Macaca fascicularis: one gene and its partners. The protein of the gene in region 4 interacts with the protein of the main gene of each other region in a pairwise test. Links are inferred from orthologs where the notes say so. Each region holds a gene or a part of one and is shown on either strand. Other genes may lie near its edges. The genes, in order: PPM1E, PDE4DIPP2, CLU, TNIK, NEFM, AKAP9 and SPTBN1.

What was found.
Region 1: the proteins of TNIK (region 4) and PPM1E interact in a two-hybrid assay, tested with the Homo sapiens proteins (2 studies listed by BioGRID and IntAct). The link is inferred for Macaca fascicularis from reciprocal best matches to the Homo sapiens genes TNIK and PPM1E.
Region 2: the proteins of TNIK (region 4) and PDE4DIPP2 interact in a two-hybrid assay, tested with the Homo sapiens proteins (2 studies listed by BioGRID and IntAct). The link is inferred for Macaca fascicularis from reciprocal best matches to the Homo sapiens genes TNIK and PDE4DIP.
Region 3: the proteins of TNIK (region 4) and CLU interact in a two-hybrid assay, tested with the Homo sapiens proteins (2 studies listed by BioGRID and IntAct). The link is inferred for Macaca fascicularis from reciprocal best matches to the Homo sapiens genes TNIK and CLU.
Region 5: the proteins of TNIK (region 4) and NEFM interact in a two-hybrid assay, tested with the Homo sapiens proteins (2 studies listed by BioGRID and IntAct). The link is inferred for Macaca fascicularis from reciprocal best matches to the Homo sapiens genes TNIK and NEFM.
Region 6: the proteins of TNIK (region 4) and AKAP9 interact in a two-hybrid assay, tested with the Homo sapiens proteins (2 studies listed by BioGRID and IntAct). The link is inferred for Macaca fascicularis from reciprocal best matches to the Homo sapiens genes TNIK and AKAP9.
Region 7: the proteins of TNIK (region 4) and SPTBN1 interact in a two-hybrid assay, tested with the Homo sapiens proteins (2 studies listed by BioGRID and IntAct). The link is inferred for Macaca fascicularis from reciprocal best matches to the Homo sapiens genes TNIK and SPTBN1.

What each region holds. Positions count from the first base shown.
Region 1 is NC_088390.1:47,741,612-47,745,111, forward strand, and holds part of PPM1E (protein phosphatase 1E), read right to left. Parts: intron 811-3,500; coding exon 611-810; intron 1-610. UniProt on the Homo sapiens protein: Protein phosphatase that inactivates multifunctional CaM kinases such as CAMK4 and CAMK2. Dephosphorylates and inactivates PAK. May play a role in the inhibition of actin fiber stress breakdown and in morphological changes driven by TNK2/CDC42.
Region 2 is NC_088375.1:114,058,758-114,062,688, forward strand, and holds the start of PDE4DIPP2 (myomegalin), read right to left. Parts: upstream 2,801-3,931; 5' UTR 2,416-2,800; coding exon 1,291-2,415; intron 1-1,290. UniProt on the Homo sapiens protein: Functions as an anchor sequestering components of the cAMP-dependent pathway to Golgi and/or centrosomes.
Region 3 is NC_088382.1:30,779,526-30,783,025, forward strand, and holds part of CLU (clusterin), read right to left. Parts: intron 1,110-3,500; coding exon 939-1,109; intron 1-938.
Region 4 is NC_088376.1:82,551,649-82,555,148, forward strand, and holds part of TNIK (TRAF2 and NCK-interacting protein kinase), read right to left. Parts: intron 1,926-3,500; coding exon 1,764-1,925; intron 1-1,763. UniProt on the Homo sapiens protein: Serine/threonine kinase that acts as an essential activator of the Wnt signaling pathway. Recruited to promoters of Wnt target genes and required to activate their expression. May act by phosphorylating TCF4/TCF7L2.
Region 5 is NC_088382.1:28,099,771-28,102,694, forward strand, and holds the end of NEFM (neurofilament medium polypeptide), read left to right. Parts: intron 1-379; coding exon 380-1,934; 3' UTR 1,935-2,424; downstream 2,425-2,924. UniProt on the Homo sapiens protein: Neurofilaments usually contain three intermediate filament proteins: NEFL, NEFM, and NEFH which are involved in the maintenance of neuronal caliber.
Region 6 is NC_088377.1:129,252,132-129,255,631, forward strand, and holds part of AKAP9 (A-kinase anchor protein 9), read right to left. Parts: intron 2,011-3,500; coding exon 1,828-2,010; intron 820-1,827; coding exon 619-819; intron 1-618. UniProt on the Homo sapiens protein: Scaffolding protein that assembles several protein kinases and phosphatases on the centrosome and Golgi apparatus. Required to maintain the integrity of the Golgi apparatus. Required for microtubule nucleation at the cis-side of the Golgi apparatus.
Region 7 is NC_088387.1:67,215,302-67,218,801, reverse strand, and holds part of SPTBN1 (spectrin beta chain, non-erythrocytic 1), read left to right. Parts: coding exon 1-320; intron 321-407; coding exon 408-545; intron 546-1,381; coding exon 1,382-2,138; intron 2,139-3,076; coding exon 3,077-3,279; intron 3,280-3,500. UniProt on the Homo sapiens protein: Fodrin, which seems to be involved in secretion, interacts with calmodulin in a calcium-dependent manner and is thus candidate for the calcium-dependent movement of the cytoskeleton at the membrane.

The DNA of each region.
Region 1 (3,500 bases), on a different chromosome or scaffold from region 4:
AGATTCATGAAATATAATTTCAGCTACTTTCCTATCTCAGAGACCAAGATTTTAAAAAGAAAATCACATGAAATAAACTGCATCAGTCTTAAATCTTCCTTTTGTGTTTGTGTTGCTTTAGCAACATAGTAATGTGAGAACTTAATACACCATTTGATTATACTATAGAAATAGTTTGGGTTTTTTGGTTTGGTTTACAAAACAGCTTCATTGAGATGTAATTTAAAAAATTTTTTTTTTTTTTTTTTTTTTTTTAAGAGACAGTCTCACTATGTCTGTCACCCAGGCTGGTCTCAAACTCCTGGTCTCAAGGAAAGTGACACAAAAGACTACCTTGCCTCCATGGAAGGGAACTGAGTACCTGGGAGGCAAGGATAAGAGAGACATTTTTATTTTCCCAGTTTTGAACCATGTGAACGCATTACCTATTCAAAAGAACATAAAATAGTTCCTTTTCTGTTGCAAATTTGTGCCACTTTGCATTTAGCGCTACTCTAATCTACCAAAGATACAATTAGAAATATATCAGAAGTTTTCCTTTTCTAACAGGACCATGAAGGTGTTTGTTTTGTCTTTAAAATCTCACTGACTCTCCGGAAGTGCCCTTTACCTCTAGGTTGAAGAGCATATTAAAGTCAGGAATGCAGACATGTTTGTCCTCCATTTTCCTGCGCATGTTTTTGATGGCATGGATTGATGTCTCATAATAAAGCTGGGGTCTCCTGCGGAGGGGGAAGTCTTTCACCCAGCTGCAGCAAATCTCGTGTAGTTTGCTGAAGACAGAACGGGCCAATTTCACTGTCTCAATCTCTGTGAAAGAAACACAGAAACCCCCAATGAAGAGCCTTGTAAAACTGCTTTTCACTTCTCTGCTTGGTAAAGACAGAAGTAGGTCACCTTAGTCAAGTTCCTCCTTAATAGAAGAAATTCATCCTTCTCAAGAAAAATGAAATGCTGCTTCTGAAGAGAGAAAATCACAACCTATCTAGTAGAAAATCATCAGCCTGCAGCTGCCACTAAATATTCTTATGTCATGAGGAGAAAACCTTTGGCCAGGGCTGGACCTATTCCTGGCTTGATTTCTTCCAGCTGGAGAAGTGCTCTCACCACACTGCTCCCTAGTTCCCAGCGCCGGTTCCTTTTTGGTTGTTTGCTATGGTTATCACCAGGAGAGCCAAGCCTCCTATGCTTAGAAAAATAAGCAGTGATTAACACTACTTCCATAGTCCAATTAGCTGGATAAATACTGTGTTTATTGGAATATGGAAGGCCTATGAAAACAGCCCACTAACTACAGAAATAAGAAGGGTGTATGTTGCTTACCATTTGTCTTTGTCCTCTTTCTCCCTGACTTCTTCCTTTACATCCAATTCCTTTTTCTCCTATAAATGATCATTTGTAACTGAATTGTGTGTATATATATATATATATATATTTTAAATTATTACTATTATTATTATTATTATTTTTTGAGACAGAGTCTTGCTCTTGTTGCCCAGGATGGAGTGCAATGGCGCTCTCTCTCAGCTCACTGCAACCTCCGCCTCCCAGGTTCAAGTTATTCTCCTGCCTCAGCCTCCCAAGTAGCTGGGATTACAGGTGCCTGCCATCACGCCCGGCTAATTTTTTGTATTTTTAGTAGAGTCGGGGTTTCACCATGTTGGCCAGGCTGGTCTTGAACTCCTGACCTCAGGTGATCCACCCACCTTGGCCTCCCAAAGTGCTGGGATTACAGGCATGAGCCACCACACCCGGCCTGTTTTTTCTGTTTGATATATTTGTTTATTAAAGTTTTAGGCCATAGTTTAAATAGTTTAGCCAATAGGTTAGCAAATGAGCTAAAACTTTTATACGACTCTAAGGAAAATGTACTTAAACTCTGTCTATGCGTGTGATCCTAGATAGAAAAAGACAGAGAGCAGCCAGAGGAGCAATACTAACAGGTCTCTTGACCCTAAGCCTACCGCTTCACCTGTGTTTACCGCTTCACCTATTGGGTAGAATTGGCAAGCTGACTTCTGAGGTAGACATGTACCCTCAGTAGATGGACAGATGTGTAAGCCTTTTAAGCAACACTGAATGATACTGAAGAGATTGTATTTCCTATCACTGAACCCTCCACTCAAGTTGTCCTCCACTTAAGTTGAGCTACGGAAATAACCAAAGAGAGATTAGGTTTTCTCAGGCCAGTATTTTAGAAGTTCCTCTTACATCTCAGGTGAAAAAAAAAAAATCGAACTTAAATTTTCTTTTTACTGAACTAAATCAGATACAGCTTGACAGCCTGAGAAAATAAGTGCCAGATGGCAATGGCTACACATGCCTCCTCCAATCTAGAATACAAATCCCAAAGAAGAGAGAGACTATATGTTCTACAACAGCCTGGGACCTGGACTACCAATTTCATTCTCAGTACTGTCTTTGCCTTAATCTGTGACTACATTTACCTCTTTTCTTATTCAAAATTATTTTTTAAATGACTGTATTAAAAAAGCTGACCTCAAGTTTTTGTCCTTTTTTTCCTCATTAACATAGCACAGGGTAGTAAATCCTGTCTTGTGGTTTTGTCTCTTTTATTTTTATTTTTTATTTTTTCTGAGACAGAGTCTTGCTCTGTGGTCCAGGCTAGAGAGCAGTGGCGCAATCTCGGCTCACTGCAATCTCCACTTCCTGGGCTCAAGCTATTCTCCTGCCTCAGCCTCTTGAGTAGCTGGGATTACAGGCCCCCACCAACACGCCTGGCTAATTTTTTAATTTTTTTTTTTTTTGGACAGAGTCTCCCTCCATCACCCAGGCTGCAATGCAGTGGCGGGATCTTGGCTCACTGTAGGCTCTGCCTCCCGGGTTCACGCCATTCTCCTGCCTCAGCCTCCCAAGTAGCTGGGACTACAGGTGCCCGCCACCACGCCCGGCTAATATTTTGCATTTTTAGTAGAGACAGGTTTTCACCATGTTGGCTAGGATGGTCTCCAACTGGCTGGCCTTGAACTCCTGACCTCGTGATCCACCTGCCTCAGCCTCCCAAAGTGCTAGGATTACAGGTGTGAGCCACTGCGCCTGGCCAATTTTTTTTTTTTTTTGAGACAGAGTTTCACTCTTGTCACCTAGGCTGGAGTGCAATGGCACATTCTCAGCTCCCTGCAACCTCCGCCTCTCAGGTTCAAGCGATTCTCCTGCCTCAGCCTCCCAAGTAACTGGGATTACAGGCGCCCGCCACCACACTCAGCTAATTTTGTTGTATTTTTAGTAGAGATGGGGTTTCACCATATTGGCCAGGCTAGTCTTGAACTCCTGATCTCAGGTGATCCAACCACCTCAGCCTCCCAAAGTGCTGGGATTACATGAGTCACCATGCCCGGCCTTTTTTTTTTTTTTTTTTTTTGAGACGGAGTCTCGCTTTGTCGCCCAGGCTGGAGTGCAGTGGCCGGATCTCAGCTCACTGCAAGCTCCGCCTCCTGGGTTTATGCCATTCTCCTGCCTCAGCCTCCCAAGTAGCTGGG
Region 2 (3,931 bases), on a different chromosome or scaffold from region 4:
GCAAAAGAAAAGAAGTACATACATTTTATACAAATGAAAACGCACTGACTTTTTACCTTTCATGACACTTTCATCTCTGCTGTTTCTCATCTATGCTGCTACTCATAATTTTGTGTAAATTTAAAAACTTTTCTCCTGTTTTCTGCTTAGGTTCTTATGGTGAAAGAAAGTATACATACCACAGAACTACTTTCCAAAAGTTTCATGTGACCATCAACAATGTTACTTATCAAGCTCTAAATTTCTGGAATGATGTTGACCAGTAGCAGGCTTTCTAAAAATGCCTTCTAGATCACATCTACCTTTGTGACAGTATCGCTAAATAAGTTGTATCAAGTGGAACATGCCAGTATGTTTCACAAAGTTAACTGAACCTAGCATTTACTGTTGCTATAGAAACAAACTACCATAGCTGAATTTAAAAGGTTGGTATAGAATCAATTGGGCAGACATGAATGGTTCAAATTAAGCAACTGCCATCCTCTAGTCATTAAGAATTCAAGACTATAATGAATGAAACTCTCCTCTGATCCAATAATGGGTTAATCCTTTCTTAATATCAAATATCTTCCAGTAGAACTCAGCAGAGTTCTGGCTGTGAACAGTTTATGCCTTAACGTTTTGAGTGACAATACTGTACTTGAATACTTGAATTCCTGTCTCTTTTATGAATGAGTCATCACTAATCCTCAAATGAACTATTCATTATAATAAATATTGTCCAGATGTTATAATACTTTACTGGTGGATTAATAGGTTTCCCCCAAACCTTTTACCTTATGCTCTAATCATTTACAGGCATTTTGCGGATGAAAGCTTCAATGCTCTGGGAAGAACTAACTAGAGAACTAACTGCCTTACAGAAAGCCATTGGGAGGAAACGTCTATAAATCTGAAAACAAGAACAAATTTTAAAAGTTGTTAAAAAAAAAAAAAAAAAAAAAAGAAAGAAAAGGAGATAAGAGGAAAAGTTCTAGTGCCAGAAATGAGATTAAATGTCTTCTTTTTACAGGATAAAAGTGAAGTGGGAATCTTTACCTTTTTGTTTTAAAAGGTATACAATTTTGATAATGGGAAGGCCAACAGATTTTACAAAGACTGTGAAAAGCAAATTATCTGAGTACGAATCACGTTTACTAAATGAGACACAGAAAAGGTGCAGCAAAAATGGGCTCATGACTAATTTTCTCAAGTCTAGAATATTACTAACCTCCACCTAGACCGAAATCATGTGAAGCCAGAGGCCAGCTAGCTATAATCAGAAAGGCACTGTGTAGCCGTTTTGTATACCTGGACCCGGAGCGGCAAATAATCTTCACAGAGATCATCCCACAGCTCCTGCAGGTCTGAAAGCTCCAAGGGGTAACTCACAGGTGTCTTGTAAAGGGGTTTCAAAGACCTGTTAAGGAACCCGGAACTAACTCCATCTGTCATGCTATGGCCAGGCTTGGCTCCAGGTGGGCTGGATTTCACTGGAATCGGAAGCCTGCTCCCTCGGGGGCTCTGGATGGGCTTATAATCAAGACCTTTAATCATGCTAAGAGCTAACTCCAGCTTGTGATTACACCCATGCGGCGGAGCCTGATCATCTGAACAACAGTCACACTTTCCAAGTTCCTTTGCACTTCTCTCAGTCTCCTCATCTTTCTGTTGTGGAGGGCTAGCGTGGACGCTTGCATCCAAAGATTCCACAGAGGAACCCGGCGTCTCTTCCTCCATGCTTTCTCCATCTGGGGGTACCTTTGTGCTTGCTAAGTCGGGTGGCCCAACCTCAGACAACGCTGGTTCTTCAGTGCAAATGCTGGTCGACCACCTGCTAGAAGGGCCACAGGAGATACTTCTGGCCACCTTTCGAGGTACCTTACAAATGGCTTCATAGTCAGAATCAGCAACCCGCAAAGCTGCACAACCACGGCATCTCCTGGGTCGGTTTCCAGGGCCTTCCGAACCATGGCAACTGTGTGGCTCCTGGATCTGATCCTCATTCTCCACCCAGCACTCAAACCCTGAATAGGCGAAGTCCTCCTGGAGCAGTGCAGAGTATCTCGCATCAGGTAAGACAGACATGTCAACCGTCCCATTCCCCGCCTTGACCTCCGGGCCAGAGTCATCGTTATTCTTCCGATACATACTGGCAATGCAGAACTTGAGGCGATCTTTCTCCAGTAGCAGCTTTTGCAAGCGCTCAATAGAAAGAGCTTCGATCCGGGCAATAACCGTGTCGAATCGATAGATTCGATCAAGCATGAAAGCACACTTGCTGCAAGCGAACTCGGCTTTGCCATCGCGGGGGACATCCTTGCCCAGGACGTGCGAAAGCAGAACCTGGAGGTTCAGCTTGGACGCTGTGTGGAAGATCCAGCGCCGCTGGTTTCCACACAGCTCTCGGGCACAGATCCTGCAAATCTCCTTCATCTTCCCTCCTAGCGGGTGCCAAGCTTCCTGAGGCGGCGGCGGCGGCGGCTACTGGATGACCACTCAATGGCTCTTCGCCGCGCTCTGTCTCCCGCCTCAGTGGTCTCCAGTCAGCATGGCACAGCCCAGTGGGGTCCTCACTCTGCAGGGGTGCACCCCTACCCCGTGCGCCGGCTCCGGGTACCACAGCCGTCAGCCCCGCCCCTTGGGCAGGGGGCGGGCGTGGAAACGTCTAAGAGGATGCTGAGTGACAGAGGCGCAGGCCGCGCTCCGACCCTGCCATGTCTCTCCCCAGCTGTCTCTCCCGCCAGCCGCCGCGTCCTCAACGTCCTACCCTTTTAACAGACTGGGCTCCCGGAGCAGCAGCGGCCCGCCGCGCAGACTCAAAGGCTCGGGGATTGAGGATCAGATTTCAAGATGGCGCCAGCGGCTCCACGTCTGCGGCTTCCACAAGGCTCCTCTGGGAGCTGTAGTCCGGTCAGCGGGCTCCCGGCTCTGCGCATGCGGGGTGGCCAGCACGCCCCTCGCCCCCACTCCGGTTGCGCACCTGGCTCACTGGGAGTGCAGAGCAGAAAGCACTACTGGCGCGGACCACAGCCAGCCGCTTTTATCTGCTAAGAGCTCACCTGAAAGGCGCACCAGTGCCCTCAAGGATCCTCCCGCCTCTGCAGGATGTCCCGAGGCTCCTCCTCGCGGGGAGGAGAAGGCCGAATCCCCTCCCCCTGGATCCTCGGACAGTGCCACGTCCTCCGGCTGCCAGCCGGGCAGCGCCGCTAGGTACCGCTGCGCGCCGCCGCCGCCTCCAGCCAGCAGCCCCACCTCTCCCGGCCTCGCCCCGCCTGGGTTCTAAGGCCCTGAGACTGCGAGGCGGGCGGGGGAAGGCTTGGTAACGGAGGGGCGGGTGGGGCGGGGCCATGCAACCCTTACCTCGACTCTGAACCGGAATGTCCAGAAAAGAGTAGAGGACTGTTTCTTCCTTGATGTGGGTGGGGGAGGGTTAGCACCCTTGGGGGACTTTGCCCTACTTTCGGTAAAAAAGAGCACTGAGCAGTCACCTGAGAAAGCGTCCTGCAAATACAATGTGAATCTGGTTAACCAAGATCTTGAAGATAGTAGAAGGGAAATGTGCTTTTTCAAGGATGCAGCCAGCCGCGAGTAGATTACCGCCACTGAAGTCTCTCCCTCAGGTAGAGGGCATTCATTATTTTAGGGCAGGGGAGGGTAGACAAACACTAGCGCAAAAGACGGAGCTCCTTTCGGCAAGAGCTGGAGTGTCTGGGAATGCAGCTCGCGCCAGAAAGGACTGGGAACTTCGCTGACTTCGGTGAGAACCCTGTCTTACTCAGCACTGTACAGTGGTAGGTCCTCCACCCTTGGGTCTAAAACTTGGATTGCACACAAAGAGGAGGGAAGCTAGAGCCCTGACTAGGTGGGATGCAGGTACCTCCGGCCATTTTTTTTTTTGAGTGCAGTGGCGCGATCTCGGCTCACTGCAACCTTCGCCTCCCGGGCTCAC
Region 3 (3,500 bases), on a different chromosome or scaffold from region 4:
GGCCAGGCCCTGCCCATGGCTGTAACAGTCACACAGCAAGTGACCAACAGCCCAGCGGGACCAGCCCCCAGCACCCCAACTGTCAGGTCCATGCCCTTTCCTTTTACCTCCCTCCATGGGGGACAGTTTTGAGACACCTGGGAGGCCATAAGAGTCACAAGGCCCAACATTTCAGGTTCATCCACGGTCATCTTTGGCCACCAATGATATCCACCCCCTGCTCAGCTAAGGGCCAACTGATGTGACTTCAGGGACTGGAGCAATTCACTGAGTCCCAATCAAAAAAGCCCTGCAGCAGAGGACAGGAGCAATACTAATACACTAAAAAAATCTTACATTGGCTGGGCACAGTGGCACACATCTGTAATCCCAACAATTTGGGAGGCTGAGGTCGGAGGATTATTGAGCTTAGGAGTTTGAGACCAGCCGGGGCAACTTGGCCAAACCCCATGTTTACAACAAAAATACAAAACTTAGCTGGGTATGGTGGTGTGTGCCTCTGGTCCCAGCTACTTAGGAGGCTGAGGTGGGAGGATCACCTGAACCCAGGAGGTCAAAGCTGCAGTGAAACATGATCACACCACTGCACCCCAGCCTGGGTGACAGAGTGAGACCCTGTCTCAAAAAAAAAAAAAAAAATTCTTAAATCCTTCCACATAAGTGGACACAGGGCTCTGCCATCCCACAAAGCGGTTATGTCATCCAGCTAAGCACTGCTGCATGAGTTTTCTAAGAGAAGGTAGATACCTGGCCTACATCCTTTTGATGACTCCACTCTCACTACTCATGCCAGACATCACCAATGGAGCATGGCACTCTGGGACCCAATGCAGCCAGCCAATACTAATCAATTGCATCTGGCATGTGGAATGAAGCATATTTCACTAGGCTCCCGTCCTTCCCCACTCAGCCTTGGCCACTGATGTGTCCCTTTTCACCTGGCGGCCAACCAGGCCCGAGCCACTTCTGCAGACGCGTGCGTAGAACTTCATGCAGGTCTGTTTCAGGCAGGGCTTACACTCTTCCCAGAGGGCCATCATGGTCTCATTGCACACTCCTGGGAACTCCTTCAGCTTTGTCTCTGATTCCCTGGTCTCATTTAGGGCATCCTACAGGAAGACACGAGGCTGGCTGAGCCACACAGAGACCACAGGCTCACACACTCAAGGAGGTGCTGGGTGCCAGGCCCTCTGCCCAGGGCAGGCCTTCCCACAGGATGGCCACCCAGCATGCAAGTGTGCACCCCTGCTCCAGTTCAGGCTTCCCTTCATTCACCCACCTGGAATCCCCTTCCCACTGGCTTGAAGAATCCACTCACCCTTTAAGATCCAACTGTTCCCTAACTCCTAGAAGCTTCCCAGCTCCTGGAACCCATGTGGACAGCACCTCTCTCTGATTTAGTGCGCTGATCATCTACTCAGTGACTACCCTCTCACTGAAGCCTCATTTTCTATTCTCTGCTTCTGGTATTTAAATTTCATCTTCCAAAGCAGGCTGCAGACTCCCTGAATCTTATCTTTCTATTGCAACCATGCCCCCTGGCATGCAAAGGGAATGGCAGGCTTTCAACACCAAAGCCACACCAGCTGTCAAAATTCTCTAATGGGTCCTTGCCATTTGACCCAATAATTCTCTAAGAATCTATCTCAGGCCAGGTGCAGCGGCTCACACCTGTAATCCCAGCACTTTGGGAGGCCAAGGCGGGCATATTACTTGAGGTCAGAAGTTCGAGACCAGCCTGGCCAACATGGTGAAACCCCGTCTCTACTAAAAATACAAAAATTAGCTGGTGTGGTGGTGCGCACCTGCACTCCCAGCTACTTGGGATGCTGAGGCAGGAGAATCGCTTGAACCCACAAGGCGGAGGTTGCAGTGAACCGAGATCAAACCACTACACTCCAGCCTGGGTGACAGAGCGAGACTCTGTCTCAAAAAACAAAACAAAACAAAACAAAGACTCTATCTCAAAGGAATCCCCTGACAAAGAAAAAGATGCTTAAAAATATTCGGTACAGTATTAACTTATGGCAAAAAAAATAAAATCAGAATCAACCCAGATGCTTAAAAGAGACAGGTTAAACAAACTGTGGTTCCTACAAAGAGTAAATGGTACATCATTACAAAGGATGTTTATAGTCCATTTTGAATATTATCATATGTACTGTTTATGTGAAAAATTCATAATTTTGTGCATAGCCACTGTCAAAAAAGCACAGAGGAAAAGAATAGGAAGAAATAGATCAAATGTTAACAGTGACTTGTCCTTGGGCAAAAGGATTATGGAAAAACTTTTCCTCTTCTACTTTTCTATATTAAAGTCTCTATAAATAAGTGTGTTAGTCTTCAAAAAAAAATTAGCCTATCCACACCCCAGAGTTACGTGAGGTCTTTGTCCTGCTCCATCATCCCCTGTTCCCTGCTGGGCAAAGACAGCCCACCTCCCTCTGAGCCAAGACACAAGTGCCACCCATGCTGCCTACTTCCTTTCCTTCTGGCTCACCTACTCCTCAACTAAGAAGTAGCTCTTAGTTGTAGCTCTTTGAGACACGCTCTTTTCTCCAAATGTGATGTGCTTTATTATAAAACCAGAATTGTTGAAGGTCAAACTCCAGTGATAACCACAAAAGTGTGAGCATGAGACATGCTCCTTCCCCAGGAGCTATTTGAGGATTCTCACAGAATGGTGAGAACTGGCCTGTTAATCCCAGCACTGTGGGAGGCCAAGGCAGGCAGACCAAGAGGCCAAAGTTAAGAGTTCGAGACCAGCCTGGCCAATATGGTGAAACCCCACCTCTACTAAAAATACAAAAAATTAGCTGGGTGTGGTGGCGCGTGCCTGTAATCCCAGCTACTCAGGAGGCTGAGGCGGGGAATCACTTGAACCCTGGAGGTGGAGGTTGCAGTGAGCTGAGATTGTGCCATTGCACTCCAGCCTGGGCAACAGAGCAAGACTCCATCTCAAAAAAAAAAAAAAAAAAAGAACGCTGAGAACTGATACTGAGGCCAAGAAAGGGCATGAAGCTTGAAAAAAAGGTAGAGCTGCATCCAGGCCAGCATTCCCTGAAGTGGCTTCCATGGAGCTGTGCTCAAAGCAGCCAGAAAAAAAAAAAAAATGAATTCCCTGGTCAATTTGGAAAACTCTGGGTTTCATGGAGTTACACAGGTTTCTTTACTGCACAACATCTCAGAGCCTTTGAAATGCTTTTAACATGCATGATGGATCATGAAGCTGGCAGGTAGCTACATCTTAGCATCTGAAGTAGGGCGACCGTGAGAGGAGGTTTGTAGGATACTCTTAAGGAGACTTGATTTCTTAAATAAGTTGTTCATTGAATTATAGTGTTTTAGTTTTGTCGAATCATTAAGCACAGGCTAGACCTGCTATATCCACTACTGGGCTTAAGATGTTTCTTCATGAAGTAGTCCAGAACTCTAGGAAGACGTGGGGTGCAGTGTGCCTGCCTTAACCCTAACCGTATCAACCCGACTAGATAAGCTTC
Region 4 (3,500 bases):
ATCTCCTATATTGACCACATGATCAATATGAAAGGCTGACACAATTGGCAATAAACTAAGTAAGGAAGCCTCCACAGCAGCACTTTATCCTGAACACAGAGTCAACCCAAGGGACTTTCTCTTGGGAAGGAGAGCTTTGAGCTCTTCTACTCTGGCCTGGCGATGCAAGCGAATTGGTGTTGGCTCCAAAAGCTTTAAAATCATTAATTCAGGGATGATTTTATGCTGGAATTGAAGATATTTCATTCCCATGATAGTTTCCTTAAAATAATAATTACATTTACATCATTATTTAGGGACTTTATGAGTATATTAGGTTTGTGAGCAATGTACCTTGAAGGCTTACTTTAAAAAAGGAATCTTGGGCTTGAATGGCACCATGAAAACATGATGTCAGAAGTAAACGAGGGAACAGTAAACTCAATATCAGGGTTTCATGTCACAATATTCTAAATCTGAGTTTTGCTGAATAAGCTACAATGTCAGTCATGTCCATTCCTTCTTGTCCTTTCACATCACAAACACATCTGTATTCAACATAATAAGCACATCTTTTTTGGATAAATATCTTTAACTAAAGGTTGTTTCACTTTAGTTTTACTTTTAGAGTTTTATTTAAAAATAAAACCACCATCCAAGACCTCTAAACATGTAAGGAGAAAACCACAAAGATCTAATCTGATTTAATTCAAGATTTTTCTCTCCATCCTATGAAACCAAAACCATTTCATCCTCCTCAAGGTAGAATTCCCCCTACCAAATAGATCACTTTCACATACATGTTCACTTTTGATCTTTAGAAGATGTCTGTGAAAGAGGTAGGGCAGGCAGTAACATTTCCACATAGAGCTGGGGTAGCAGCAGAATTTGAACTAGGGTTCAATCTTATGGGGTCCTCCTTTGCACCAAGAGAGGTGTTCAGGCAGAAAATGCCCACACAGCATGAAGTTACAATAAGATGCTGTGCTTTGCAATATACCACTGTGTTCTTTTCCTTGGGGTATGCAAAGCTCATCTACACTATAACTTTATAATTCAAAGGGTGCATCATAAAAACTTAGTGTGTGGACAATGTCAAAAATAACAGTACATGTGCTTTATAAACACATTTAGGACCTTACGTGTGATTGACAAGACTATTAATGAAACATGACCACACACTGTGAACTCATCCAACTGGTGTCAGTCATCAGCGTCTATGGGCACTACCTGCAGATTGTGTTTATTCAGACTTTTTCCTGGGACTGTTTCTATACAGGAAAGGTAATACCTAGTTTCTTCATTCTCACACAATTTTGAATTTATGAAGATGAACACTTTAAGAACTTATCTATTTATTAAATTTTATTTTTCATAAACAAATCATTTAAACTGTTTTATTTAAGTCATACTTAGTTTGACTAAATTAATGCAAATATAAACCTCAACTGTTGTCCTTGAAATCTGTATAGCCTGAAGTTTCCAGTTCTGGTCTTAGATCTGTCACAAACCAGCCGTGTGTCTTGGACAAGTCACTCAACCCTCTATGAACCTAGTATACTCATCTGGAGAAACAAGTATTGGTTCAGATGATATCTGAGAACTTTTCACTGTTCTGCTTCCATGATTTCTCCATTTGAGTACCTGCACAGGCAGCTCTATAGTAGAAACCAACCAAACAAGTTTCAAGGAGCTTGGTGAAGCCTCATTCTTGAAGAGATCATGGTTTTAGAACCCCAGGAAGGAGAGCAGAACTGTCATGCCAGCTGTTGCCCAGCACCTACTTCAGTCCCAGAGTCCATCTCCTGGGAATGGGTTGAGACGCGCCCCAGTCCCTCAGTTGGGGTTCCAGCTGGAGAATGGCTCTGCTGCACCAGGTCAGGGAGGTTGATGTGGCCAGCAAAGCCATTGCTGTCACTGTGGCCAGATCGCTTCTCTCCAGACGTCTGAGGGAGCACAGCATGTGAGAGGAGTTAGAGAGGGGGGGAAAAAGGCCAAAGAGTGACATCAGCCCTTACACGGCATAGGCATATGGGGCTCCAAATAGACCCGCTAGGGTGCAAGAAGGTGATATTCAAATTTCTATTTTACTTAAGAAAACAAAAAAGAAAGTAAGCTTTGCCAATATTTGGTTTATCAATTGAGCCTGAAGCCTTACGTTCCTGCATGAGGTATAGACAGTGGTCACATATGGCATGGGGTCCCATGTAAAGGGGGAGACGCTACAAAAGGGAGGGACTGAGCAGGGCCCACACTTGTAAACTCTTTTGTAGTGCTTGTGCTGTATGTACCTGCCACTTAATTATATTTACAGATCATATTACCAGGTTATAATGAAACAAACCCACACAACAGAGAAATGACCTAAAATGTTGCTGAAAAGAAGCAGTGTGTGTGGAGTACTCCAAGAAAGTGCAGAGACCATACTTAACTCACGGGGCTCTTTGTCATTCACAAGGTCAAAACAATGATTAACTAATCAGATCTGACAGGAGTTCCAAATATATTGACATGATCTAGAATACTATTTGAAAATATGGATTTACAACTACTATCTACATAAATGTTTAATGTCTCAATAAAGAACTATGGTGCTTTGTGATGTAGGCAGTAACAAAATAAAGTCATCATAACTAGCAAAGCATTTGAAACATCACTTCTAGTAACCCTTTTTAATGTCCTTTAAAGTTTTTTTTTTTTTTGAGATGGAGTCTCGCTCTGTCACCGAGGCCGGAGTGCAGTGGCATGATCTCGGCTCACTGCAACCTCTGCATCCCAGGTTCAAGCAGTTCTCCTGCCTCAGCCTCCTGAGTAGCTGGGATTACAGGCACGTGCCACCACGCCTGGCTAATTTTTGTATTTTTAGTAGAGATGGGGTTTCACCATGTTGGTCAGGCTGGTATTGAACTCCTGACCTTGTGATCTGCCCGCCTTGGCCTCCCAAAGTGCTGGGATTACAGGTGTGAACCACCTTGCCTGGCCAAAGGTATTTTATAATGTACATAATGTTAGTGCAGTAGAAAAAAATGTATGATTTGTGAATAAATACACTGTATTAGGTGAGATGCTCTATAGTTTTACTGATAGGATTACATGACCTAACAAGTTTGGAAGCCATTGCTCTGGAGAGCAGTCTCTGCCAAAAAATCCCAGGGAGGAAAGGCAGGATTAAAAGACAACTCTGGTTTCCAAAAGCCAGTGCCCACATTGTAGGCCTGACTAGTGTTGCACTTTTTAACTTTTCTGCAACTGGCTCACTGAGGATTCTTAGAGCAGATCTGATTAAGTAATGATTTCCCTCTCTGTCTTTTCTTTCATTCATTCATTGACCCAAAAGTTTTTAGTTCCTACTAAATGTAAAGCATTCTACTGAACATGGAACAGCTGGGAACAAAGCAAGCACATTCCCTACCCTCTTGGGGGCTGGCATGTGCAAGGTTTCATGCTGTTTCTTTGACCATCTCACCAGTCTGGCTTTTTATTTCTGGAGCTTGTCATGGATTTACAATTACAGCTCTGCA
Region 5 (2,924 bases), on a different chromosome or scaffold from region 4:
CTTTTGTTTGTGGCTTTTTGTGTTTTTGTTTTCGTTTTTGTTTTTTCCTATTTGGCCACTAACAAGTTTTTCAGCATATTCTTGTTGGACCTAATGGATCTCTACTGCAGGGCCAAGACTTAGTAGCTGGGTGTGGTTAGTGGACTATTGGGCAAGGTTAGTCATTGTAGGGGGCAGTCCAGGAGAACCTTTCTCTGTCACTGAGTATGACGTAATATGCAAGTAAGTGATAGCAGGTATTATAACAAATTGATAGAATATTTTACTTATGTAATTCTATTTCTTCAAAGGTAGCTACTACAATACCCAGAATGTAATGAAACTCAGAAGGCCCAGAGAAATTTTTACTATGTCTTATGTTCTTTGATTTTCTCCTTAGAAAACTCCTGGAGGGTGAAGAGACGAGATTTAGCACATTTGCAGGAAGCATCACTGGGCCACTGTACACACACCGACAGCCCTCAGTCACAATATCCAGTAAGATTCAGAAAACCAAGGTGGAAGCTCCCAAGCTCAAGGTCCAACACAAATTTGTTGAGGAGATCATAGAGGAAACCAAAGTGGAGGATGAGAAGTCAGAAATGGAAGAGGCCCTGACAGCCATTACAGAGGAATTGGCCGTTTCCATGAAGGAAGAGAAGGAAGAAGCAGCAGAAGAAAAGGGAGAGGAGCCAGAAGCTGAAGAAGAAGAAGTAGCTGCCAAAAGGTCTCCAGTGAAACCAACTGCACCTGAAGTTAAAGAAGAGGAAGAGGGGGAAAAGGAGGAAGAGGAAGGCCAGGAAGAAGAAGAGGAAGAAGAAGATGAGGGAGCTAAGTCAGACCAAGCCGAAGAGGGAGGATCCGAGAAGGAAGGCTCTAGTGAAAAAGAGGAAGGTGAGCAGGAAGAAGGAGAAACAGAGGCTGAAGGTGAAGCAGAGGAAGTCGAAGCTAAAGAGGAAAAGAAAGTGGAGGAAAAGCGTGACGAAGTGGCTACCAAGGAGGAGCTGGTGGCAGATGTCAAGGTGGAAAAGCCAGAAAAAGCCAAGTCTCCTGTGCCAAAATCACCAGTGGAAGAGAAAGCCAAGTCTCCTGTGACAAAATCACCAGTGGAAGAGAAAGCCAAATCTCCTGTGACAAAATCACCAGTGGAAGAGAAAGCCAAGTCTCCTGTGACAAAATCACCAGTGGAAGAGAAAGCCAAGTCTCCTGTGACAAAATCACCAGTGGAAGAGAAAGCCAAGTCTCCTGTGACAAAATCACCAGTGGAAGAGGCAAAGTCAAAAGCAGAAGTGGGGAAAGGTGAACAGAAAGAGGAAGAAGAGAAGGAAGTCAAGGAAGCTCCCAAGGAAGAGAAGGTAGAGAAAAAGGAAGAGAAACCAAAGGATGTGCCAGAGAAGAAGAAAGCTGAGTCCCCGGTAAAGGAGGAAGCTGTGGAGGAGGTGGTCACCATCACCAAATCCGTAAAGGTGCACTTGGAGAAAGAGATCAAAGAAGAGGGGAAGCCACTGCAGCAGGAGAAAGAGAAGGAGAAAGTGGGAGGAGAGGGAGGGAGTGAGGAAGAAGGGAGTGATAAAGGTGCCAAGGGATCCAGGAAGGAAGACATAGCTGTCAATGGGGAGGTAGAAGGAAAAGAGGAGGTAGAGCAGGAGACCAAGGAAAAAGGCAGTGGGAGGGAAGAGGAGAAAGGCGTTGTCACCAATGGCCTAGACTTGAGCCCGGCAGATGAAAAGAAGGGGGGAGATAAAAGTGAGGAGAAAGTGGTAGTGACCAAAACAGTAGAAAAAATCACCAGTGAGGGGGGAGATGGTGCTACCAAATATATCACTAAATCTGTAACCGTCACTCAAAAGGTTGAAGAGCATGAAGAGACCTTTGAGGAGAAACTAGTGTCTACTAAAAAGGTAGAAAAAGTCACTTCACACGCCATAGTAAAGGAAGTCACCCAGAGTGACTAAGATTTGAGTCCACTGCAAAAGGTTAAGCCATATGACAATTTCAAAATGCATGTGATTGGCAGCTTCAAAACAGAACGGGTTCTCCCATGGGGGCTCCAGACATTGTATTTACTTTGTGCAATATGAGGGGACTGCATGCAAGCTCAGGGTGCTCCCTCCTCAGTCTTTGGGGGATTCAAATGCATGATATTGTATGTACCTGGGAAATTTGCCAATTTCCTAAGCTGTTGGAAGGGGGTCACTTAAGGGGGGATGTCTTGAGATGTATTATGCAAAGTACCAACTGAGCCAAAAACAATAAATGAAACACAGAACTCTCTTAGCCTTAAGAAAGCTATATATGAATAATTATGTTTACCTCACTGGTGCGTTTAAAATGGACTTTTGCTCATGGGAGAACCTCGTTGACATGCACAGTTTGCAATCTTATGTTGATTGATGTTAAACGTCACAGCAGTACTTGCTCAATAAAGGTCATATTGGAAACATAGTCAATTGCTGAGTCTTATGTCATTTCTTTTTTAATTTTTATTTATTTTTATTTAGAGATGGGGTCTTGCTATGTTGGCCAAGTTGGTCTTGAACTCTTGGCCTCAAGCAGTCCTCCTGCCTCAGCCACCCAAAGTGCTAGGATTATAGGCATGAGCCACCATGCCCAGCCTGTTATGCCATTTCAAAGTGAGATCTCCACTACCTGAAGCTTTCTTGCCCTAAAATAGATTTTTGGGGGGAAATCATAAGTAAACTGCACTTCTTATTGCTATTTCCCTGAGAGCGATTACTTGGAAAATGTAATTGCTGAAGATATTTTCAGGTGTCTACATCTTCACTGAGCCCGGTCTTCATCCCATAATTTTAAAATCACATTTTTGAAACAAAAATAAAAGCATCAGATACAAATAGGAATCCGGTGGGATAGAAATCTTCAGTGTTTCTATCCCAAAACAGAACTCAGAGAACCTCTAGGTAAGAGGACAAATGAAGGAGGGG
Region 6 (3,500 bases), on a different chromosome or scaffold from region 4:
ACAGAGTATGATGCTCTTACATATAACATTCTTTTGGTCTATTAGGGACGAAACCAGGGAAAGTGGAACCACGAGCCCAGGATGCTGTCACTGTGACCATTAATAGAGGTTAATCTGGTCCCAGTCCTGGGCATGCCTTTCCACAAACCTCTGTGACCTGCATTCATGACAAAGACTGAATAAAGAGACCTAGAGACAAAACCTGAATACCATCTATTTTTTTTTTTTTTTTGAGATGGAGTCTCACTCTGTCACCCAGGCTGGAGTGCAGTGGCGCAATCTCGGCTCACTGCAAGCTCTGCCTCCCAGGTTCATGTCATTCTCCTGCCTCAGCCTCCTGAGTAGCTGGGACTACAGGCGCCCACCACCACACCCGGCTAATTTTTTTTGTTTTTGTATTTTTGGTAGAGACGGGTTTCACCATGTTAGCCAGGATAGTTTTAATCTCCTGACCTCGTGATCCGCGCATCTTGGCCTCCCAAAGTGCTGGGATTACAGGCGTGAGCCACCGTGCCTGGGCCTAAATTTCTTTAGTCTATTTATTTAAGGTCAGTGAGAGATGAAAGAAGGCAAAAACATAGAACAAACTGTGATGTTTAGATGGGAGATGTCTCCTACCTTTAAAGTGACATGTTCAGAATCAGGGCTTAGAGTTTGAAGTAAAGAGTCATTTCTTAGTTCAGCTTTCAGTTTGTATACTTCAGCCTCTGCCCTTTTCAAAGATTTCTGGAGAGTCAATTTTTCTCTGTTCCATACCTCTTTTTCAGAGGCAATGATGGCTTCAATGTTGGCACCACCATTCAATGAAAACCTGGAAGACTGCAAAGACCACAGACTACTTACATGATTTTTAAGAACAAGTCTCTGAAGAAAAGTCTGAGCTAAACATATTAAAGATAGCTCAATGATGGTGCAGTCTCAACTTTCTGACCCCACCTAGACAAAGTTCAAAGCCAATCTTAATTGACATTATGCATATACACTAACTCTAAGTACATGGTCCTTTGCTAAATACATTAGTTTTACAACTAAAAGTCCTTGAGAAAGCCTGGCCACAGGGAAGGTTTAGCAGATTAGCAGAGCTTTGAACTAAAAACATCAAGAGACCTAACAGACCATTTGGGTCCAAATTTTGAGCCTGTGCCTGAAATAGTGTATTGGAGAAGTGGGAAAAAAACAAGCCAGTATGTACATAATAAGTGGATTTCTATAAAAGGCACATAAATGTGTTATCATGTATTTAACCATACAGTTGTCTTACAGGTCTTTTCTATCTTTATATTGGGTGATTATGGAAACTAGCAATTAATTTTATACCTGTTTTTAAATGGAAAAATTTTAAGTAAATTCTCAGCGTAATTTATCAGACTGAAAGACATAATTTAACAGCACCTTCTATTTGAGTCATGAACACAATGACTGATAAGTGACCGAAGAGAACAGTCAGGATTCACATTTGAACATTTTGTGTATCTGTTGTTGGTGCCTAGGTAGCAAAGTATCTGGCTTTGGAGATACATGTATCTTGGTTTGACTACGACTTCAGTTCAGTTTTCTCAGGTATAAGGTGGATGCGGATTAGACATTCTTTATGTATACAACTCAGAGTCGAGTACAGAGATGGTTTCCAATAAATAACAGTAATTATTAGTAACTTAGTAGTAATAGTAATATTATTATTGTCATCCCTATAAAATTTTCTACAGATCCTACTAAGAATCAGGTACGTGATAGTTTTACATTAACAGGATTAAAACTTGAACTAGATAGCAGAAATGACAAGCACGCACGAATTCTCATATATGGAGATGCTAAAAATGGACATACATTATCTCTACCAGCTCCTGTCTGTCGATACCACCTGATCTGCTCTTCCAGCTTCATAACCATGTTCCTTAAGTCATTCTTCTCTTCAGTCAGTTGACTGATATGCCCTGTCAGCTCAGCATTTTGTCTCAGTAGTCTTTCAGTCAAGGAGCCACAAGAAGTACTTGGGGACACCAAGCTGGGCTGGAAAAATAAAATGGTGTAAGGTCACTTAAGCACAAATGGATGTGAATAATGCATATAAAGGGTGAATAGGCACCGAGAGCAACAAAGTTCATGAATTGGTGCTTGAGTTGAGTCTTCAGTAATAGGTAGATATTTACCAGGCAGAAAAGATAAGGGCACATTAAGCAAAAGGCGCACAGGCTTGAGCGAGTGTGTATTCCTTTCGGGGTGTTATAGGTTGCCTGTTAAGTCTAGATTGCTTTACTTTATGAATAACAGACCTAAATGTAGGCAATGGAGAGTCATGAAAGGCTTGATGCAAAAATACGACACAAAATTTATGTGTTGGAAAAATTCCTTTGGTAGTAATGTACAAAGCAGGGGAAATTAGGGAAGATATCTTCGTGTCAGGTAGACCTATCAGCAAGTTGTTTCAACAGCCAGGTAAGAAATGCTGAAAGCCTGAATGGAGGCAATGCCTAAGGGACAGAAAGTAAAGGGTGTGCGGGAGAGGTATTTAGAAGATAAGAGGGACAGGACTTAGTGACTATCTAGACGTGCAGGGAAGGGTGAAGGAAAGTGGTCTATGGTGACTTCCAGCTTTCTAAACTGGGCGGTATCATGACTAGAAATGAGGGTCTGGAGCAGGAAGGAGAAAGGGAAGACGGAGTTCAGTTTGGAATGTGCCTGTGAGGTTCCTATAGGGTCACTATGGGGTACATTTCCCTAAGGAAAAATGTCTAGTAACTAACTGAAAATATAAGCCTGGGCCGGGCGCGGTGGCTCACGGCTGTAATCCCAGCACTTTAGGAGGCCGAGGCGGGCGGATTATGAGGTCAGGAGATCGAGACCATCCTGGCTAACACAGTGAAACCCCATCTCTACTAAAGAATACAAAAAATTAGCCGGGCCTACTGGCGAGTGCCTATAGTCCCAGCTATTCGGGAGGCTGAGGCAGGAGAATGGAGTGAACCCAGGAAGCAGAGGTTGCAGTGAGTTGAGATTGCGCCACTGCACTCCAGCCTGGGTGACAGAGTAAGACTCCATCTCAAAAAACAAAACAAAAAAGAAAATATAAGCCTGGAACACAGGACAGAGGTTTAGACTAGAACCACAGTCCACTAAAGATAAGCTCCATAAGGATGAGGTTTTAGTCAGATTTGTTCACTGTATCTCCAGAACCTATCTGGCACTTATCTGGCACACAGTAAGTGTTCAATATAAGTATTTGTTTAATAATAAGTCTAGTGAGAGCTCAGGGTGTTGGACTGTGTGAGCTTTCATAGTTATAGGTTACAGAAAAGAAGGAAGAGGGTAGGAAGAGGAACCATAAAGGTAACTGATGAAAGAAGCAGAAGAAATGTTAGAATACTGACATGACACGCAAGGAAAGAGAAGGTCTTAAGAAAATAAAAGAGATCAAAAGTATCAAATGCTACAAAGAAGTCAAGAAAAAGACTGAAAAGATTCACCAGATTAGTCAATTGTTTAGACACTGGTAGGCGTCT
Region 7 (3,500 bases), on a different chromosome or scaffold from region 4:
AAGAAACACAAGGACGTGGCGGAAGAGATTGCCAATTATAGGCCCACCCTTGACACGCTGCACGAGCAAGCCAGCGCCCTCCCCCAGGAGCATGCCGAGTCTCCAGACGTGAGGGGCAGGCTGTCGGGCATCGAGGAGCGATATAAGGAGGTGGCAGAGCTGACGCGGCTGCGGAAGCAGGCACTCCAGGACACCCTGGCCCTGTACAAGATGTTCAGTGAGGCCGACGCCTGTGAGCTCTGGATCGACGAAAAGGAGCAGTGGCTCAACAACATGCAGATCCCAGAGAAGCTGGAGGATCTGGAGGTCATCCAGCACAGGTGAGCGGGGCACTGCCAGTCACTGGCCTGTTCCTTGTGACCACTAGTGGCCCAGGAGGTGACCACCCTGTCAAATTGCCGTTTCAGATTTGAGAGCCTAGAACCAGAAATGAACAACCAGGCTTCCCGGGTCGCAGTGGTGAACCAGATTGCACGCCAGCTGATGCACAGTGGCAACCCAAGTGAGAAGGAAATCAAAGCCCAGCAGGACAAACTCAACACGAGGTGAGCACGCAGCCAGCAGCCTTCCAGCCTCCCACGTGTGGGGCTGGGGAGGGTGAGGTCACTCACTGAGCCTTGCTGTTGGGAATTTCCCACATGGGGTCATTGACATTGCAACACGATGTCGTGGCATTGGCACCTGCGTTTTGACATGTCCTTGTTTTGTAAGAAGTGTCTCTCAGGGCAACATCGTTGGTTGCAGGAGGATGATCTGAGCCAGCCCAGCACCTGCCCCTCTGCACACCAAAGTTAGGGCCTTGGTGTGACCGGTGTCCAGTGTAGAAGGTATTAAGATGACACCTGTGCTATCCATTTTAAAGTAACTTTAGGAACAGGACTCTAGCATGTTCAACACTTAATTTGCCAATGGAAAAGTCCTGATTGTCAGGGCAGACCTTTGTTCTGGTCTTATCTTTTTGTTGAGTAAACATGTTTGAGTAGGTTGTGGCATCTGGCCCTAGTTTTGAAGGTTACCATCAGTCTTAGAGTCTTAGATTTGGAAAACATTCATTAGGTGGAGTTCAGAGATGTGTAAAATGTGTGTTGCAGACATGAATTAATTGACTCTGGGAATGGATGTGTTGTAATTGCTCACATTGGAGCTCTGTAACACATTCCTGTTTGTGACAGGCTTTTTCCAGATTACATTGCATCCCTGAGCCATTTCCATTATATATGGTGTTCGTAGTCTGAGTGAGATAATTTTCCAAAAAGCATGTACTCAAAGCAAAGATGGAGAAAACAGATAAGCAGCATTAACCCCATTACTGTTCCTTTTGCAATCCAGCCATGGTCGGTCTTCCCTTTTTCACACTCGCTCTCTGCCCCTGCACTTACAGGTGGAGCCAGTTCAGAGAACTGGTTGACAGGAAGAAGGATGCCCTCCTGTCTGCCCTGAGCATCCAGAACTACCACCTCGAGTGCAACGAAACCAAATCCTGGATTCGGGAAAAGACCAAGGTCATCGAGTCCACCCAGGACCTGGGCAATGACCTGGCTGGCGTCATGGCCCTGCAGCGCAAGCTGACTGGCATGGAGCGGGACTTGGTGGCCATTGAGGCAAAGCTGAGTGACCTGCAGAAGGAGGCAGAGAAGCTGGAGTCCGAGCACCCTGACCAGGCCCAGGCCATCCTGTCTCGGCTGGCCGAGATCAGCGACGTGTGGGAGGAGATGAAGACCACCCTGAAAAACCGAGAGGCCTCCCTGGGAGAGGCCAGCAAGCTGCAGCAGTTCCTACGGGACTTGGACGACTTCCAGTCCTGGCTCTCTAGGACCCAGACAGCAATCGCCTCGGAGGACATGCCAAACACCCTGACCGAGGCCGAGAAGCTGCTCACACAGCATGAGAACATCAAGAACGAGATTGACAACTATGAGGAGGACTACCAGAAGATGAGGGACATGGGCGAGATGGTCACCCAGGGGCAGACCGATGCCCAGTACATGTTTCTGCGGCAGCGACTACAGGCCCTGGACACTGGATGGAATGAGCTGCACAAGATGTGGGAGAACAGACAAAATCTCCTTTCCCAGTCACATGCCTACCAGCAGTTCCTCAGAGACACGAAGCAAGCGGAAGCCTTTCTTAACAACCAGGTAAGATTTGTTCCTGCCTTTGCTTCCTTTCCATGAAAGCAGCCCTGGCTGCCTTTTGAAATGTTTTGGCTGGGGCAGCTGATTTAACCCACACCTGTATGGAATTATATGGATAATTTAGAGACAGATGTTTTTCCCAATACTCTTGAGGCACTGAAATCCATCACATTGTAGGGGACAGGAATTGAAGATTGCCATAGGAGCTGCTTTGCCTTACAAAGTACTATTTGATTTCAACTGCCATTTAGGACATAGTATGTCCTCATAATTGAGGTATTGATCCCATTTAAAAGATACAGTGAGGGCCAGGCATGATGACTCACTCCTGTAATCCCAGCTTTTGGGGAGGCAGGGGCAGGAGAATCACTTGAGCCCAGGAGGTCAAGGCTGAAGTGAGCTGTGATTGTGCCACTGCACTGCAGCCTGGGTAGCAGGATGAGACCCTGTCTCTTTAAAAAAAAAAAAAAAAAAAGTACAGTGAAGGTTTTTTTTTTCTTGAGACCAATCTGTCTTATTGCTCTAAAAGGGTCAGGGACTTCACCTGAGGACACAAGGCAGCGATTAGAGAAATAAAAACAGCTGAGGATAGTCACCAACTTCAGGGCTGCTATTGTCTCAAAGAGAGGGTATGAAGGGTACATTACTGTTGCCTTGACGGGCACGTGAGAGAACCCTTGAGGCTGATGCACAAAGCTTTGGTTCCTTTCCTCAGTCACTTTGGAAAAAAAATTTAGAGCATTTAAACCCTGAGGAAATTCAGTGAGTTACAGTGTCCCACTGGGTTTTTTTACCTCCTAATTTTTAATTTGATGTGATTTAATTATTTCATGTAAGTGTAATGAAGAAAGTGTTGTGAAGTATGTTGCATGGAAATGTAGAACACAGGAAAATGAGATCCTTCATTGATCCTTTATGACTTGTTTCTCTTTTTAAATAAGGAGTATGTTCTGGCTCACACTGAAATGCCTACCACCTTGGAAGGAGCTGAAGCAGCAATTAAAAAGCAAGAGGACTTCATGACCACCATGGACGCCAATGAGGAGAAGATCAACGCTGTGGTGGAGACTGGCCGGAGGCTGGTGAGCGATGGGAACATCAACTCAGATCGCATCCAGGAGAAGGTGGACTCTATTGACGACAGGTACAGTTTTCTGAGGTTCTTAAGGGAGACTTGCACGTTGGGGCTCTCAAACTTCTGAATCATTGGCCAGAAGCCCTTGGGAGTGTGGGCATAAATTTCCCAGTGGGCGGAATATAGGTGCCCAGCAGAATTTCATCTACCCAAACAGAAAATTAGTGAGCCGTGCATGACTGCCTGAGAATGTGGTTCTGGTGAGACATGTACAGGTGTCCACAAAAGGA